Caenorhabditis elegans: one gene and its partner. The protein of the gene in region 1 interacts with the protein of each later gene in a pairwise test. Each region holds a gene or a part of one and is shown in the gene's direction. Other genes may lie near its edges.

What was found.
Region 2: the proteins of C52A11.3 (region 1) and clec-209 interact in a two-hybrid assay, tested with the Caenorhabditis elegans proteins (one large-scale study listed by BioGRID).

The regions. Positions count from the first base shown.
Region 1 is NC_003280.10:10,735,299-10,739,229, forward strand, and holds C52A11.3 (PDZ domain-containing protein C52A11.3), read left to right. Parts: upstream 1-2,060; 5' UTR 2,061-2,103; coding exon 2,104-2,130; intron 2,131-2,285; coding exon 2,286-2,426; intron 2,427-2,470; coding exon 2,471-2,617; intron 2,618-2,786; coding exon 2,787-2,867; 3' UTR 2,868-3,330; downstream 3,331-3,931.
Region 2 is NC_003283.11:2,349,644-2,353,574, forward strand, and holds clec-209 (C-type lectin domain-containing protein), read left to right. Parts: upstream 1-2,032; coding exon 2,033-2,118; intron 2,119-2,185; coding exon 2,186-2,301; intron 2,302-2,554; coding exon 2,555-2,791; intron 2,792-2,837; coding exon 2,838-3,289; downstream 3,290-3,931. Other genes in the region: irld-53 (Receptor L-domain domain-containing protein), read right to left, coding at 53-181, 224-498, 568-682; Y19D10A.8 (Major facilitator superfamily (MFS) profile domain-containing protein), read right to left, coding at 3,716-3,838, 3,886-3,931.

The DNA.
Region 1 (3,931 bases):
TAGATTTAAATTTCCAATAATTTTGTGAAAAGTCTTCAACACTTTGCCCAGTTATTTTTACTGTAAGGGAGATTCTAAAGTACTGCCAAGAAGTTGCGAATTTCACTATTCGTTTTTTTTTGAATTTATCAGGGTACTGTATAAAACTGTCAGAAGCTTTTAGACGATAAATTTTGGTAAGAAGTTGCAAAAGTAGTTGCAACCAAATATTGAGATAAACCCGAGTCGGCATCACTTTTGTAAGTTTATGACATTACTCATCCACATTCTTTCTGATAGTAACTGGGAAACTTTTAAGAAATTATTTACAGGATATTTTCTACTTATTTGAAATGAAAATTCGTGACTTTTGCGCTAACCAGACCTGGTCTGGGAGAACCGATTTTTCTAAAACCATCCTATCTGAATTATGACAAATATAATTGCTCTACCAGAACCCCAGTTTATACTTTATTCAAACTTAATTTATACTTATCAATTGGCATTTTCGCCGATTCAATTTCAAACAAGTTTGGCTAAAAGAGAGCAAGATGACAGAAGTATGTGAGTTTGATGTGGGCAGAGGAACAGGTGATTTTTTGAAAAAAGAGGAAAGATGGAAATAGAAAATGCCGTACGAAAAAAGTTAATTCACATTCTTCGTTTTTCGGAAATCCAAAACCTGAATTACATTCACACGGAGGCTCGTTTCTTTCGGTGTCTTCTGCTTCTGACAACACAGAGTCTCCTTGACAACGATTCGTGGCTCAAATGGAGTGAGAATTCGAAGAAAAGGTAGTAGAAGGGAATAGAAAGAGGAAAGGGATTCAGAAAAAATTGTTCGAAGAATTGTTCTGTCTTAAATTAACGGGGGAAAACAGGATCTGTTTACACGCTACAATGAGAAGTTTTGTAGAATTATGTACATTCTGAAAGCAATAGAAATACAATTTTGAAATCAAGTGCTCGTGAAAAAGGAATATTCCAGATTAAATACAAATACAAAAATAAAAATCTAAAGTATTCAAGTCAGGGAATTTTCGTACAAAACATGACAGTCCAATTTTTTCCTGGGAAGGAATAACAACATTTAAAGAGCGAATTGAAAATGAGAAAAATAATTGAAATTTTTTAGAAAAAGACTTTAAAAAAAGTGTGGTGCGTCAGAAAATCTTCAGATCAATTTCCCAAAAACCGAACTTAGGTACAAGAAAAAGCTAGAAAAAAAGGGTTAAAATTCAGCTATGTGCAATTTTTTTTTGAATTTTGGCAACTTTCAAAATTATCATACATTTTTTAAAAAGGAGTCAAATTTATATTTTGTGAAAAATTCGATTTTTTGCCGAATAAAAATTCTGAATGATTTTTTTTCCATGACACATCTAGTTTCAAACAATGTTAGCTTGTCTGATCTTCTTTTTTGAAATGAGACATATTTTTACGCATGTTAACCTCGAAATTATTAAAACTTTAAAAAAAGGAGCGGAAATGATTTTTCAAACTCCGCACAAGGTAAGATATAAGGCACAAACCAGTCGGAACTACAAAATTAACAAATTTTATATGGAAGAAAATTTTAACTTTTTGTTTTTATTTTTAACGTTTGACAGATAATATTTGCGAAAATCTGGTTAGAACAGAATTTTGGTAGCAGCTGACATTTTCTTAGATTATATTTCACTAATTTTAAATATATATTTGCAATTATTTACTGATTGTGAGAACTTTCAAGTTGATTTAGAACAAGTAAAAAAAATTAAGAACTTCTAGACTGTAGGCATGCAAGTTTTTTAACGTCATTCTTACTCATCTCAGTTTGGAAACCCCTTCTCTGATCATACTAAATAATTTATTTGAGATTGTTAGCAACAAAAAAGTCCCTAAAGTGATGACTATTGTGATTCATAATTATATAAATGTTCAATATATCACGCGTTACCCTATGATCTCATGAAAATGATCAGAGGGTAAATATGATTTATTCAAAAACAATGAAATATAATGTTAATTGGAGAGGTAAAGTTTGAGCCGGGAAGGTATAAATATAAAGTTGAGAGTAATCATTTTCTGATGAAAGATTTTTACTATCAGTTTGGACCATAACTTTCTACGGATTCCAGAACAATGCGACGAATCACTTGCTGCTTTCCGGTAATTAATCGTTTTGTGGAAAAATAATTATTGAACATTAGGATTATTATTCAAAAATACTGCCCCTTTGCTTGACAATTTTTGAAACAATTTTCAAGTATAAAACATATAAAACATCCTAAAGAGCTTATGAAACATATTTAATAATACTACAGATAAAAATTCACCGAAGACAACCACCTAGTCCACCATCAACTATCACATTGAGCAGTTATGAGTACAGTTCACTCGCTGTCGGAATCATTTCCGATTTGAAAGAAGAGGGTTGTGATACATTACTTGTCAAGCTTCAGAAGGTTTTCATCAACACTTCCATTATACTTTCATAGATTTTTCTCAGGATGCCAATCGGAAAATCGGAATGGGAGTCGGGGTAAGAGATCGTGGAATCCTCATAACCACTGTAGTACCTGGATCGGTTGCCGCTGAGAAATTGAAAGTTGGAGATCGTATTTTGGCGGTCAATGGACGTCCAATTTTGGATCAGGTAAGAATGATACAACAAATAGGAGACACAATAAAATTATCCAAAAACTGACTGAAATTGAAAAAATTTTCTAAGGGGGAAATTTGTGCAAGATGCGAGCAAGACTAACTAGTTTATATTTATAACAAACATTTAGATATCCGATATCTATATTTGTCACTTACTTCAGCGCTCGGTGGTGAAATCGGTCAAAGCATCTGGTCAACGACTGTATCTTCAAATCGCCCGTCCTCACAAGGTACATAAATAATGGTCCCTATATTTTAATTATTGCGCTACGAACAGTTTCTTTTTATCTTCTAATTATTTGAAATCGTATATTTCTTCCCAAAAATTATTTTCCAAAAGGCTAATTTCAGCAAAAAGCCTCAACCAACCTCATCAACTTTTTTTGGCATTACCAAAGTTTCTAAAATTTGTTGAAGTTTGCTGCAAGAAATTGATAAGATACAATAATTATTTCCCCAACGAACCCTTTATCTGTACCAAAATTCAAATCTCGCATTGTAACGGAATGCACTTACTTACTGTTGTAGATTTTATCCGTCAAAAAATCTATTTTGCTAGCAATTTCACCTCCTCACACACGCTATAACATTTTTTTTCCTGACTAACCTCAACAGTTTTATTGTAACGATCTTAAAAAATTATTGAACTTCCTGGTGGGAGGTTACTCGACTAATTGGAATATTTATGAAATATTAAAAAAAAACAATAAACACAAGAAAAACAGTTTATTATATACTATTCATGCGTGGGAAATTATCCAAAAATAAAACAATGAAAGATCCAAAATAAGGACTAAAAGATAGAACACTAAACTTAAGGAAATAATATCACCGCATACTTTGCAAATGGGTGTAAAACGACTAGATATTCAGCATGTTTGGAACGAATTGAATAGTTTTCAAAAAAAAAAACGGTAAAACTTCAAAAAGAAAAACATTTCAAAAAAGTACCCTGCAGAGTTTGACAGAAGAGGCGAGACATAATTGACTGCCTACAAAATGCATAAAATTGCTCGCCTATATTTCAAAAAAAAAAATTCAAAAAAAATTAAGAAAAAAATATGGAAACCTGAGTTGTGTTGAAAGTTGGGGGAGAGGATTCGAATCAAGAAAAAAACAAGGAAATAATTTTAAGGGGGAAGCGGTACGAATAACATTGAGCACTTTTGAAGGTAGGAATGCTAGAATATTATTAGAAGTTCGTCAGAAAATGAACGACGAATATGAAGGGAAAGAGTGTAAAACCCGGAAATCGAAACGAATTGAGTGTTTGATCACCTACAAGACTAAAATATCACGTATGTTG
Region 2 (3,931 bases), on another chromosome or scaffold:
TTTTCATTTCGCATAATGTACATTGTGCTATCTTCCAATTTTTCAAGATTACCTTCAGGTTTGGAAGATTCAATAGTCTAACTGTGTTTCTCAGAAAATAAATATTGGAACAACCTATAGAGGTTAGATTAACAAGTCCCAAGTTTATCATATTGTGGTTGTCGCCCCACATAAACTGTGGCTGGAAAAAAATTTTGGTAATACATCGAGAAAAATCCAGTACCTCTATTATATCAACAGGCGGTTTAAGTCGACTTTTCGTGCTACACTCCACCGATTCCAGTGAAGCTAGGAACGTGCCACTTTTGAAGTCTGTCGACATTACTGCCAAGCTTCCAATTAAATGTTTCATATTTTGAAATGCATGGGATAGCTGATATTCGGACAAATTGGATCTTTCATCAATTAGGATATCTGCGCAAACAGTGCTGCAATTTGTTGGAAATAGATCCAGATTATAACTAGCGAGAGAAGATTCCGGAAAAATGCAATGCGGCTCTAAAAGATGTTTGTTTTAAGTTGGATTTATCTACACACTTATTTCAATTTCAATTATTCAGAACTCACCACAATTCTCCTCCAAAAATTTCATATAATGGTTCATTCCACCAAATACATCTAATTTATTGGAGTCCGAAACGAGTGATAACTTTAGAAAAATTAGTGAAATCAGTATTTTCATTTCAAAACTAGAAGCGAGCAAAGGAAATTTGAAAACGAAAGATGTATGAGCCAGAGGGAAACAGGTGAAAAAGTAATTTTATGGCATTTTGTGATTAGCTGAACAAAAAATAATAATTTCGATTTTGTGAGAACTTTATGGAAACGAAATTAGAAATTTTTCTAGTTTTAAGGACAGCTGTAAAAATTTTCATGTAGTTAGGGACCAATCAGCGCTGCGCAAAGGGCGTGGCCAATTTTTTTTAATTGGTCGGAGGTGTTTTAAAGGTGGACTACACTTGTTGGGGAAATTGCTTTAAAACATGATTATGGGATAACAATGACCGAATATCTTGATTAAAAAATTCAAAAAATTTGTCTAGTTTTTTAAAAATGATTTTTGGGAAATTGGAAAAATCTCAGTGATCCCCTAATTCCAATTCGAATTATCGCCAATTGAATTCGTTCGATGGAGCGCGCTTGCATTATTTTCATTCATTTTTTCTCATTATCTCTCTGATTTTCTTCACTTTTCGGGATTTTTTAATTGGAAAATGAAAGAAATGACAGAAAAAGTGAAACAATGAGAATGAATAAAATGAATCACGGTGGTTCAGTTGCTAGTTGGGTGCAAACGCGCTCCACCGAACAAACTTGCATAACTTGGCCAGGAAGTACAAAATCGAAAATTCATCACAAATAAAGATAGATAATTTCATTGCGGTCATTTCTTATATGCATAGCAAAACCGATTTTGTGATGGTTTTCGAGATAGTAGCCAATATAGGTTTCCAGACTGAGTATCATGAACCAATCCATCTAGTTTCTGTGCTACCATGGAATAAATAAAAATATTGCAAGCGCGCTCCATCGAACAAATTCAATTGGCGGTAATCCAAATAGGAATTAAGGGAAAACTGAGATTTTCCCAATTTTCAAAAAATCATATAAAATCTAGAAAAATGTTTTGAATTTTTTTATCATAATATTCGGTCATTGTGACCCCATAGGCGTGTTTTTAAGCAATTTCCCCACAGAGTGTAGCCCACCTTTTATCATTGCAGACGTTTTTTTCCATGAGTTTTTTTTGCAAAATATCAAAGTATCAAAAAATCAAAGTGGGTCAAAAATCAAATCAAAAATTATTTTTTAAAGTTTTTCTTTATAATCAAGTACTCACTTATCTGCTACAAAAAGCACACCATCTAGTCTGAAAAATCATCAATTTTCCTTAATAGTTTGTGCTCCGAAGGGTGTAACCCAACAAATCAACCTTACAAACTCCGCTTATCACACCTGACAGGCTGATAATATTTTTACATAAATAGATCAATGACTAGGAGAATGTGTATCTGGAAACAAGCTGGAAATCATGTTTCGTTTAGTGGTAGCTCTTTCGATTCTACAATTAGTCGCTGGGCAATGTGCCCATTATGAGGACAAGTTGATTGGAGATCTGTAAGTTTTTCTTAAGTTACATTTTGGAAAAAAAAAAGATTTAATTCTTAAATTTTCAAATTTTCAGATGTTACTCATTTTACACTGAAACCCGGAATTTCGACGGAGCCGAACGAGCTTGCTCGGGGAACAACCAAAATTTGGCAGTACTTCACAATACTCTACAAACTAACTTCTTAGCATGTGAGTTTTGAGGACACAAGTAGGCATAGGTAGGGCTGGAATAGCTCGGTCGGTAGTGGTGGGGACTGGAAGCCTAGATGTCAAGAGTTCAAGTCCTTCAATACACAACTGTATGATTGACCACAGTCCCCGGCCCAAACGTGGCCTGAACCAAAAGCCCAGTGTGAATACCGTACCTGGCTCCTAGATTCACATAGCGCTTGAGGAACTTAGCCTTTTATATTCTTTCCAAATACTTTAATTCCTTTTACAGCAATCGTTCGTAGCCAAACTGGCGCAACAAAGTTTTGGATCGGTTTAAGCCGTGCAACTCCGAGCTCTAGATTCCAATGGGACGACGGAACCACAATGTATTGGAGCAACTTCAATATGAATCATGCGAAGGATAACAATTATGTTGCCGAACATACGACTGACGGAAAATGGCAGACAATTGGCAAGCACCACGAGCTTCCTTTTGTATGCAGTTATGATCCGAAAAACTTTACTCGTGAGTAGAAGGTTTTTTCTGAAATAAGACAATCAGAGAGTTTTAGCAATTCCATCTGGTTCCGGGTCCACACCTGATTTCACAAATGGCCCAGCTTCGGGAGCCACTGACGAGCCGATCTCCGACGCTACCGGAGCCTATTCCACTGACTTGCCATTTTCTGATTCCCCAACTGGAGCTTCCGATCTACCATTCTTTGGATCTTCGGGAGCTACTGATTTCCCAGTCTCGGGTGGTCCATCTGATTCACCAATTTATCCAGCTTCGGGAGCCACTGACGAGCCGATCTCCGACGCTACCGGAGTCGCAAGTTCCGATGGACCATTGGCCTACTCCACCGACTTGCCATTCTCCGATTCTCCAACTGGAGCTTCCGATATGCCATTTTTTGGAACTTCTGACTACCCAGTCTCGGGTGGTCCATTTGGCACCCCAGATTTCCCAGTTTCGGACGGCCCATCTGGATCATCTGATTATCCAGTCTCCGCAGGTTTCTAATGATTTTACTGAATAAAGTTTCAAGCATTAATCACTCGTTTGTACAAGCTCAATGGACTCGAATTTTGTCGGCTGCACATTTTTTAACATGGAAACAAAACTGCTAGAAGTTCAGTCTAATTTCCTGATTAGAAATAGTGAAAAATCAGTAATGATGAAAGTTTTTAGACGTAACTCTTATCTAAATTGCGTGATAAGGAGGTTATCCAAATTGATGTTTGCATGACGGGAAACTACTGATTCGTCACTTTTCAGATTACAAAAAAAATCAAAAGTTGGGAAATGAAATAAAATTTAAATCAATGATCACTTTGTGAACATGATAAAGAGGCCAGAAATGTTTCCAGATTTTTTTTCAGAGCGTGAATCGAAGGTTGAAACTAGGCGAAAAGGTTTTTTTTTTTTTGACAATAAAAGTTTAAAAAATTAACATTTCACTGTTGGTTCTTGTTTTTTCGTATATCCCGCCGCATCGGACCTTGCCAAAAATGGGAATCCTGCGTTGCAGGCAACAATGAGTCCGCTGATAACCAGGAAAAATGTTTTCCACTGAAATTCTAGTGGTTTTTAAAGATTTTCAAACAGAGGCTAATTACCTGTTCGTTAGTATAATTCGGGCAGATTATGCTGACTAAAGTTGGG